Tribolium castaneum: one gene and its partners. Each later gene encodes a partner of the first gene's protein in a complex. Links are inferred from orthologs where the notes say so. Each region holds a gene or a part of one and is shown in the gene's direction. Other genes may lie near its edges. The genes, in order: Ubc7, lipid droplet-regulating VLDL assembly factor AUP1 and E3 ubiquitin-protein ligase AMFR.

What was found.
Region 2: the proteins of Ubc7 (region 1) and lipid droplet-regulating VLDL assembly factor AUP1 are in contact, whole or in part, in a crystal structure (PDB 7LEW), measured with the Homo sapiens proteins. The link is inferred for Tribolium castaneum from reciprocal best matches to the Homo sapiens genes UBE2G2 and AUP1. Residues at the interface, in NP_003334.2 of Homo sapiens: Tyr13, Thr17, Pro20, Gly23, Ile24, Val25, Ala26, Gly27, Pro28, Met29, Asn30, Glu31, Glu38, Leu40, Met42, Glu45, Glu50, Phe51, Val53, Pro55, Lys156, Val159, Gln160, Ser162, Leu163, Leu165; in NP_853553.1 of Homo sapiens: Ser379, Arg382, Gln383, Leu386, Arg389, Lys390, Leu393, Tyr394, Tyr396, Ala397, Arg398, Arg400, Phe401, Thr402.
Region 3: the proteins of Ubc7 (region 1) and E3 ubiquitin-protein ligase AMFR are in contact, whole or in part, in an NMR structure (PDB 2LXP), measured with the Homo sapiens proteins. The link is inferred for Tribolium castaneum from reciprocal best matches to the Homo sapiens genes UBE2G2 and AMFR. Residues at the interface, in NP_003334.2 of Homo sapiens: Tyr13, Leu16, Thr17, Pro20, Gly23, Ile24, Val25, Ala26, Gly27, Pro28, Met29, Asn30, Glu31, Glu38, Leu40, Met42, Glu45, Glu50, Phe51, Val53, Val159, Gln160, Leu163, Gly164, Leu165; in NP_001135.3 of Homo sapiens: Ser574, Ala575, Arg578, Gln579, Met581, Leu582, Arg585, Lys586, Leu589, Leu590, Ala593, Arg594, Arg596, Phe597, Leu598, Lys600.

What each region holds. Positions count from the first base shown.
Region 1 is NC_087394.1:30,806,838-30,809,612, reverse strand, and holds Ubc7 (ubiquitin-conjugating enzyme E2 G2), read left to right. Parts: upstream 1-1,173; 5' UTR 1,174-1,293; coding exon 1,294-1,336; intron 1,337-1,387; coding exon 1,388-1,469; intron 1,470-1,513; coding exon 1,514-1,632; intron 1,633-1,681; coding exon 1,682-1,822; intron 1,823-1,868; coding exon 1,869-1,987; 3' UTR 1,988-2,214; downstream 2,215-2,775. Other genes in the region: uncharacterized protein LOC662537, read right to left, coding at 2,482-2,749. UniProt on the Homo sapiens protein: Accepts ubiquitin from the E1 complex and catalyzes its covalent attachment to other proteins. In vitro catalyzes 'Lys-48'-linked polyubiquitination. Involved in endoplasmic reticulum-associated degradation (ERAD).
Region 2 is NC_087394.1:36,253,352-36,256,997, reverse strand, and holds lipid droplet-regulating VLDL assembly factor AUP1, read left to right. Parts: upstream 1-1,057; 5' UTR 1,058-1,169; coding exon 1,170-1,213; intron 1,214-1,263; coding exon 1,264-1,552; intron 1,553-1,598; coding exon 1,599-2,015; intron 2,016-2,075; coding exon 2,076-2,256; intron 2,257-2,532; coding exon 2,533-2,834; 3' UTR 2,835-3,014; downstream 3,015-3,646. Other genes in the region: mucolipin-3, read right to left, coding at 1-42; uncharacterized protein LOC103312234, read right to left, coding at 669-703. UniProt on the Homo sapiens protein: Plays a role in the translocation of terminally misfolded proteins from the endoplasmic reticulum lumen to the cytoplasm and their degradation by the proteasome. Plays a role in lipid droplet formation. Induces lipid droplet clustering.
Region 3 is NC_087396.1:17,611,296-17,614,975, forward strand, and holds the start of E3 ubiquitin-protein ligase AMFR, read left to right. Parts: upstream 1-766; 5' UTR 767-1,030; coding exon 1,031-1,279; intron 1,280-2,664; exon of another isoform or gene 2,665-2,699; coding exon of another isoform or gene 2,700-2,759; intron 2,760-3,680. UniProt on the Homo sapiens protein: E3 ubiquitin-protein ligase that mediates the polyubiquitination of lysine and cysteine residues on target proteins, such as CD3D, CYP3A4, CFTR, INSIG1, SOAT2/ACAT2 and APOB for proteasomal degradation.

The sequences.
Region 1 (2,775 bases):
CTTATGTTCAAAATATTTATAATTTCGAAAGCCAATAAACAAAACAGGTTGAAAAAAAACTCTAATAAAAAATTTAGGCTTTTTTGTTGAAAGTCTTTATTTAATGCGATTTGTTTGGAACATATTTTACGAGTTAATTTTGGGGCACTTCCTGTTGTCGTAGCAACTTGAGATTTTACATGCACACGTAACTTTTGGAGCACAATTACGTCATGTACTTCGATTCCTGATTTAAAAATGTGCAGTGCTATCTCGGTTCCTGAGGGAGATACGGGAACGGGACCTATTCCATTCGATAGCCCAGGAAAAATACTACGGGGCGGTAGGGTTTTCAAAAGGACAGAACCACCCCTCTATCTCCAACAGAAACGAAGATATTTCGCATTTTGTAAATTGCAGATTTTCTTCAATTTTTATAAAAATTTTGATAATGAAATAAAATTTTAGTAAAATTCAGCAAAATTTTAAAAATGGATTTCGTATCAGGATCACAGGAACGCAAAAGGGTAATGAGAAATTATAAATAACTTAAAATACACGCAGATGTATAACTGGTTGCATGTAAACGCCGCTAAAAATTTCGTGGCCTCTTTGCGTTCCTATGATCCTGATACGAAATCCATTTTTAAAATTTTGCAGAATTTCACATAAATTTTCTAGCACTCACAAATTTTTTTATAAAAACTGAAGAAAATCTGAAATTCACAAAATGCGAAATATCTTCGTTCCTGTTAGAGATAGAGGGGCGGTGAAAACCCTACTGAGCCGTAGTATTTTTCCTGGGCTATCGAATGGGATAGGTCCCGTTCCCGTATCTCAATCAGGAACCGAGGTAGCACTGCACATTTTTTAATCGGGAATCGAAGTACATGACGTAATAGTGCTCCAAAAGTTATGTAAACATGTAAAATCTCAAGTTGCTAACATAACAGAAAGTGCCTCAAACTTAAACTTTAAAACGTCTTAAACTATTTTTTTTTAAATTGTAGGTAGTGACATTTGGGTGTCAAATCTTAAAGTACCTTTTATAGAGATCTATAAAACATTTAAAAATAATAAAATCTAAGGTAGTGACATCTAAGCAATGACTGCAAAACTACGCTCTTATAGTAACCTGTAAATTGTCAAAGTACCATCTACTGAGTCTGATCTATAGCTGTTCGATGGAGTTGGTGATTGCAGTGCACTTTTTTTTAAGAATTGACAAACGCTCACGTAAAATATTATAAAGAATAATTAAATTCATTCAATGCACATTTTTGGGTGCTCATATTGTTCAAATATTGATAAAAAATGGCAGGCTCAGCTCTAAGACGCCTTATGGCCGAGTACAAGCGTAAGATGCAAGCCTAACCTCAAACTATTTGCATTCGTTTTATGTTTCTAGAACTGACTCTGAACCCCCCAGAAGGTATCATTGCTGGTCCAATAAACGAAGAAAATTTCTTCGAGTGGGAAGCGTTGATAACGTAAGTTGTCTTTGTAGGGAAACTTTCATATGACGGGTTTTTAGTGGCCCTGAGGGGACATGTTTTGAGGGCGGTGTTTTCCCAGCTAAACTCATTTTCCCCCCGGACTATCCCTTAAGCCCTCCTAAAATGCAGTTCACCTGCGAAATGTTTCACCCTAATAGTAAGTATATTAGGGTTTTTGTAACAGGAGATGAATCAGCAGATTTTAGTTTATGCTGATGGGCGAGTATGTATTTCCATTTTGCACGCCCCTGGAGATGACCCTATGGGCTATGAGTCAAGTGCTGAGAGATGGTCTCCTGTACAGAGTGTTGAAAAAATTCTTCTCTCAGTTGTCAGCATGCTTGCAGGTACGTTTCTTCACAAAACAGTAACAAAATTCAACATGATTTTTAGAACCTAATGATGAGAGTGGAGCAAATGTTGATGCTGCGAAAATGTGGCGGGAAAATAGGGAGGAATTTAACAGAATAGCGGAGCGGATTGTAAGGCGAACGCTTGGGATTCCTACGTGAATTTTTACAAATTTTAACTGAGAGTTACGTCTGTTTGTTACAATTTTAATAATTTATGGGGATTAAAGTTTAGTTTTAAAGTTCAAGACTAAGGGCCTGGCTTGTTACCGCGCTAAAGTGAGAAAAAAATTTATTTCAATATATTATTTCTGAACAACAGTTAAACCATAAACTTAGTCTGTTAGGAACCTAAGCTATTGAAATAAATACAGCAGCATCCATTCACATCAGGAGTCTTAGTCTTGTCTAGCGCAAAACCCCGTTTTGTGACTAACATATTCACAACCTAATAAGAAATACGTTATTTTCTGGCTTAACTACTATCATGTGCGTTTGCTTCCTTATAAATAAGTTATTGGCTTAAAAACTACAGCTGACTTTCCAAGCATAACAATACTAAAATCACATTAAAACTTTGGTCTGAAAGTTAATTGCACAAATTTAACAAAACAACAAAATAAATAACTATAAATATGAAAAAGAAAGTGAAAACCTCAGGACTGCCGAGGATTTGTGTTATTCAAAACAATGTAATTGTTCAGAGGTATGTTGGAAACGATAGGTGCTTGGACTTCTTCTTCCTGATAATCGCGTCGTATCGCTGGAGTAGGGATTCTAGGAGGGACTTGTTCATTACTTGTATCTTCTACATCTATCAGATGCTCTGAATAATAATGCGGAGTGTTCAAGTAGTCGATCATTCTCCTCGGCAATGGAAGACTGGGGATCAGATCCCTGCGAACCACTTTGTGGATTGCAAATCTGCAAAAAATTCATGAGTAGAAAAC
Region 2 (3,646 bases), about 5.4 Mb from region 1:
GGTTGTGACGCTTTCTGGGGAATTGCCTTGCATTGGCTCCATTTCCACGGCACTCAACAGGACATTCACTTTTAACTTGGTGATGGGGCCAAACCACAAACACTGACAAAGGAAAATAACCTAATTGTTGACACTGACATCTGACGTTTCGCAACTAGGGAGTTTCGTTTTTTCCTAGTTTTTTTCTATAAAAATTACGGGAAAATACACAAAAACGCAGACTAGTTGGACTTACGGGACAGTTTAATTTATTCAGCCTGACTGGAGATTATTTTGTATATTTTAGATAATAGAATCGCTGTCACATGACTGGTGTTTTTTTTGTACAGTGGCGTAGATAGAGTTGTCAGATTTTAAATATTCAAATGTATGAGCTTCTAAGAGCTGCTGCTAAAAATGTATAATATTTTCACATGGATAACAACCAGCTGTATTGTTGTTAGGAAACTCAGGACAATTTACAAAAGAAAGAAGTTTTTGATTTTTTGGAAGATGTGTGAAAAATATCTCAAGTCTTTGCCGATTGGAGGGTACAGTGATAAGAGGATCATGTGATAAGAGGCGTTTGTGGCGTCACGACTTTCTTCTTTCGAAGCGATTTTTCTTACGTTTTTAAGGCTCAAAATGTTTAAGCCCCTGTTAAATAAACTAAGACTATTTGGATTTACCTGACGAGAATTGTAAAATTCCTTAAAATGTTCATGTTGATGTCTTCAAACGAAAACCAAATCCACTAACACCAACAACTAATTACCAAAACAGGGATTAGAAACGATTATTAGCACTTTAAAAACGCCGGTAAACAACAATAATCCCAAAAATTCATCAACACAACGCGTTTTGAATACGTTTTTGGAGAACAAAACATGGCGTACTAACGCGGGATTTCTACCAACTGCTGCCAACCTACCAGAGCAGTACGCACTAGACTAGTGATTTTAATATGTTCTGGATTTTAAAAAAAGCTTAATTTTGTGTTGGAAATACCATTAACGATGTTTTAATAGTTGTTCAAACAAAAAATTGTTAAAATTATTAACCAAAAAACGAGCCGCTCATGTTTTTTTTTTTGAGACGTCACGTCAAATGTCACTGACGTCACAAACCTAACCCTCTGTTATGTTATTTAGTGTAAAACCTTAAGATAATTTTGTTTTTGTTATGTGAAAATGCCAAATAATATCGAAATCAATCAGCTTTTTTGTTTCAAAAGGTAATCCCCCTGGGTTAGGTTGTGGTAGCGTTGCAATAAATTCGTTTCAGGTTTCCCGAAAATGAGTTGAAGATTTTGTGTCTAGTGCTTTACTTACCTGTTGGAATAGTCCTGTTTATTTTACGGACAATCTTAGCTTTGAGTGTCGTTTTGATCGGATGTAGTTTATCAGACACTCGGATTATCCATAAACTTGTGAATAAAATTGCATGTTTAACGTTAGGTATAACAGTCACGGTAGAAAATCCCGACAAAAAAGAAAATGTAGAAGTGTATATTAGCAATAACTTATCGATTTTTGACCATTTGGCTGTCCATACGGCTACAGGATCGGTCTCAGTAAGTTTTATAAGGGCCCCAAAATTTTTTTCACGAAAACTTGCAGCCCGGCGCTCAAATGCACCCAGCCCTGGCTAGAGGCTTAGGAGTTCACTATTTCGGTACTCAAACGAATTTAGAAAGTTTTAAGAAAAACGTAGCCGACTTTTTATCCGAGCAACAAATCCCAGTACATTTCACACCGGAAGAAAAAATCACAAATGGCAAAGCACTCCTAAAATTTAAAAGCTACCCATTCTCCCTGACAAATAAAGTGCAACCTGTTTGTATCAGCATTGAACGCCCGTTTCTGGACCTGTCTGTTACAACTCTACGCTCATCTTATTGGACTGACGTTTTATTTTACATGTTTTCGCCTCTTACTAACTATAAATTGAAATTTTTGCCTCCTCTTGAGAAAAAGTCAGTGGCGGAGGCTGAATTTTCCGAAATCGTACGCCAGAATATCGCGTCGGCCCTTAAGGTGATTTATTATAGCGTCAAGTTTTAATGTTGAAGCTGAGAGCTTTAATAAAATGTTTAGGTGGAAACCCCCGAATTGACAGCTGCCGATCTCTTAGAGTGGGAAAAACGCCAACTTGTTGAACAACAGAGAGCGCCACCTGTGCCTAGGCCAAGCGTTGATAGTGAAGTCAGGAGAATGGCGACACAAGTTAAAGATGTGCTACCACATGTGCCATTAAACGCAATTTACAAGGACTTGAGTAAGTTTCAAGTTAATCTAAATTCAACCAGTTACTTGCAAAAAAGGCTGAAATATTGAGCTTTAATAGGCCGAGAAAAAATGATCCAATATTTACGAGAAACGTGACCAAAAAAGAGTTTAAATTTTTTTAAAACACTACAAATACAAGAAAAATTTTGGGAAAAAATTACTAAAGTTACTATTATAAAGCTACTATAAAGAGCTATTATCTGCCTGAATTTTTGGGTGGCATTAACGTCGTTTCGTGTGGTAACTGGGGTAATTATTGTTGCAGACAAAACACGAAATGTAGACACAACTATAACGAATATCCTCGAAGGCCGAGTTCACTTTGTGCCAGAACAAATTAGTTCTACCTCCAACAATCCACAACCTTCCACATCTGTAGCATCTGGTACGAAAGCATCGCCTTCGACTTCAACTACAAGTGATAGGGATTTGTTCAATACAGCTGCTTCGTCTTTTGCCCGATCTGCCCACGAGAGAAACAAGTCATTTCAGGAGAGAAAAGAACAACTTATTGCCAATGCAAGGAGGCGATATATTGAAAAACACGACTTAAAGATACCGTTTTAGGATGTTTGTTTGTTTTTGATAAGTTTTTTTTTTTTTAGTTAAGTTGTGGAGTTTGAGGCACATTTTCAGAATTTTGGTTTAAGTTTAAGTTTGGCGATTCTTTGCGGTTTTTACTACTTAAACTGTAAATATTGTTATTTATTTTTGGTTGCAATACAATAAACATTTCATTACACGCCATCATGTGTTTTTAATTTAACTGATTCTTCCCTATTACTAACTTATCAATAAATAAATAAATAAATAAATAAAATCTCAGTTGAAGAGTAAATTTCAATAAGCAATAAACTATTTTTTGAAGGAATTTTGCTAGAGTTTTACATAAAATAAAAATGGTGGAGGCGCTGGGATAACAAGTGTTTTATTTATTCATATTTGTTTTTTACTTTGCTGGACGTTTTTAAATAAAGACAGTGGTATTATTTTTTAGTTGAAATATGAAATTGTGTTCAAAATGCTGGAGGCGCCAATTTTCGTTCTTAAAAATCCGTAATAAATATAACTCATGAAAATTATTCTATCGGCAGATTTTTATAACTTTATCAATTAATTATTATGCATCAGTTTTTTCAAACAAAACCTTAATCATCATTTGTCAAAAAAATCCTGGGGACGTATGATACATTTTTTATTTTTGATTTTGCTGAACAATGTGCTATAACTTTGCATTAAAGTTAGGATAATGCTAACGTAATATTATAAAACACTATACTACTCCATTTCTTGTCAATAAACAAGAAAAAAAGTGCTTAACAAAAATAATCGTTTTTGAATACAAGCGCGGGAATACTACCAACCTAACACTAGGCACT
Region 3 (3,680 bases), on another chromosome or scaffold:
CGTTTTTTCCTAATCAAAATTTTCCAAAATAATTATGTTACTCATTAGTAAGTGAAATCCCAAAATATTTTCGCTCAATTAAATTATTTATAATTCAAATCTCTATTGTTTTGCTACTTTGGTACTCTACAGGGTGTCGGCGAATTTCGAGTTCAGAGTGTTGTAAAGAAGCACTTTACTAATCCAAATATAGAAAAAAATTAAAATTGAGGGATTCCGCACAAAGTTACATTGGTTTGAATTAATCTTAGAATTACGTTTTCTTCAAATGCAGGCAAAAAATGTTAGTGTTTATTGTTTATTTGTTTATTCATGGTGTAGTGTATAGATAATTGTAGAGAATAATAATATAAAACATTTTTTTAATTAGCTTTATTGCCGTTCCATTTTTAAGAAAAACTACTAAAAAAATAATGACCAAAATAAAGTTAACTTTTAAAGAAATTGTTTTCCATTATTGTCCACTATCATCTATATCATAAATAACAATAAACACTGAAATTTTTTGCCTGCAATAAAGTGCTCTTGAAGTGCACATTTCGAACCAATGGTAATGGTATGTAGGGGCAACCAATTATACAAGAAGCATGAATTGTGAGTAGCCGACATTTGATTAAAAAGTTGTTCAAACACCATCATTTAAGGATAAACAGGTGTTTGGAGTATTTTAATGATAAAAGTGGATAAGACATAAGAAAGGGACGAGGCTTATGCTCTGAAATATATAAATTCGTTTAAAATTCGCCCTTCCCCTTACAGGGCCCTGTTTTATCCGGATATTTGACAGGTGCATCAGTGGCGGCCCGACCAGCTGGCGCACCACATGATCAATACATGTATAAAATTAACCATCACGTACCAGTGTGTAATCAAAAGTAACGTGGCCCCAAGCGCACCACATCTCCAGTGACAAATCGTTCGCGGCCGCGACTCCACACTATGTCATCGTCGCGCCCCAATTCCGCTTTGACAAGCCGCACAAGAGTCGCGTTGTAATTTGTGACATATCGTGTTTGTAAACAGTGACAATATGCCAGTGATTTTACTCGACCGGTTGCCTGTGCCCAATCTGCGGATGTACTCCGCCGGCAGTGTCTTGGCCCTTTCGGCGTGCGTCTACTACGCCACGCAGGTGATCAAGGACCCCGACTGGGGGGCCGTCGCCGAAGACATCAAAGACTCCAACAGAAGTAACGCCTCGGTGCCGCTTGGCCGGTCCATGGGGCAGTTTGTCTCCGACGTGTTCAGTGTTATGATAAGGGAGCCCATCTGCGTGTGGGTGAGTGCCGGCTGATGCTCCCGGATTCTTCCGGATTACCGGAAATGTGGCGCAATCTTGGGATAACATTACCGCAAATTGCGTTCCGCGAAACGAAAAGAACTGACCGGCTAACGACACAACAAATGCACTTTTTTCTTCCGGTAATCCGGCTCTGGAATAGTCGTGTGGTCACTTTATTAAATTTTAGTCAAAATCGGATCAATTCCTCATTTTTAATTAATTCTTTACGCACCAAAGCGTTACTGAACAAGTCCCGTTATCCAACGGCTTCTTAAATTGTTAATGATTCGAATTACCGAAGCGTCATAAATCATTATTTTGAATAAAGTATTCCAAGTCTCCGATCTCATCATCGAGTCCGGGCTTGCTCATATTTTATTCGTGATTTTCTAAGATTTGTTCAATCATTCGTGAGAGATCCAGATTTTCGATTGAATTTTTCACAAATGTGCCTCGGCTGGAAAAGGTCATGTCGCAGCTTAAATTCCGCAATGCAATGCCAACAATTCACATTATTCAGTCAGACTTTAATAAAAATATCGGAAACGGCTGCTTCTCTTCCTACGCAAGTAATTTAAATGTTTTGTTCATTGACCTGTTTCAAAACAAAAGACTCGTAATTGTCTACAGACGTCAAAAACAAATGTTTGATTTAATTATTTTTTATTGTCTGCAAAAAGTGATTCTCGTAGGGGAGGGTGGAGCATAAAGGTGCCTGAAAATGGGTTTAGTATGCCACGAAACAATCGAGAAAGTCAGCCTTCTTGATTTCTATTTGCCTTAGAATATTTCATTGACGCCCGGTATATTTTTTGCCCATTTTATTGCTCAGTCGGTATTTCACACAATTCCACAATCGCTTGAAAGTTTTTCTAATAACAATCATTTGCAATTACTAAATTGAGGTTTTGACATGCAATGTGCCGTTTTATTCTTTTTGAAAGCAAGGCTTCAACTTTTCCGAAACTCGTTTCGTTGTAATAAAATCGATTTTGTCAACTTTCAAGGTGATTTGGGGTAGGTTGGGTTTATTTCTTTAGTTAGGAAGTATAGATAAAGGAGTGAAGTGTAATTAATTAATGTATGCACAAGGCCAAATAGTTACTAATTGGAAATTGTTCCCAATACGATTTTTTGAATATTGTTTTCCCGTTATTAGTGTCAGATGAAGCCATACACGTGCCGAAGTCGCTTCCAGGTCATAAACGTTGCATCAGATGAATGTGATAGCACCATAAATAAGAATAATATCTATTATTCTCACTTCAAATTCTGACAAATCTGTTTTAATCGAAGGAAATTTATTTTCAATGGTAGGAGTCTTCCTACGATTTTTCGAGAGACAATGACAAAATTTTATAAAGAGTTTCATTACTGATTGTTCATTGCTGTGGTGCGTTTGAGAAAATTGTGAAACATGGAAATAGACAAGTGGAGGGTTATAATTCCCCGAAAGTTCTTAAAAAAGGTCCTAAAGGTAATAAAAACAAAATTGTGAAACTGTGTTTACAAGAGAAAATTTTGTTAGTCCGACTTTAAGATTGTTTGGAATAAATAGTAAACAAATTTATCAACAGTTGTAGTACAAATGTAAACCATTACAAAGTGTAGAGTTACATCAACTTTCGGTCCACTGAATGATAAAACCAACTCGCGATTTAAATCTAATTAAAACCAGTCTGTAATCTTTTAGCAAATTTCTTGTTAATCGTCGCTTTCATCGAGCTCTTATCAGTTATTGTTTCGGGTAGCAACTCGAATCCTTGAATTTTTTAAACATTTGGGTGCCGTTTTATTTTTGGCAACTTTCCGTTCGGTTTTTAAAATTATTTTTAAGTTGAGATTAAACCGGACCTCTTGTCCTTCAAAGCATGCGAAGCGAGAATGTTGTTTTCGAATTAATTGACCACTCAGACGTTTAAAAAATTTAGTGGCACTATGTGCTCTGTCCAAGTCTGAATCATGGAACAAAGTACCGTAGGCGGTTAGATTCTCTTATCAATGACTCACAAATTATATGCTGATATCTATTGTTAACCAGGTATAATAAAATAACAGAAATTACGAGGTCTTCAATGCGCACTTTGTGAAAAAAACTGACGTGGCTTATTATTTGTGGATTGATTTTATGAGTTGTATTAAAACTTGATTTGTAATTATATAACTGGTAAAAATTGGAGGAAATGAAAGGTTCCAAGGTTGAAATATTTAAGTCATGTTTTAGTGCATTTTTTATCGAGGAAAAAATTTGCTCGATGTTATTCTTATATCGATCGTTTCTAAAGACACGTCATTGTTGTGTGCGAGTAATTACCAAGAGAATTGTTTAATTTATTCATATTTTAATTCTACATAATAAAACGAAGTTGCACTTAAGTTTCGATAAGTTTGTTGTTTT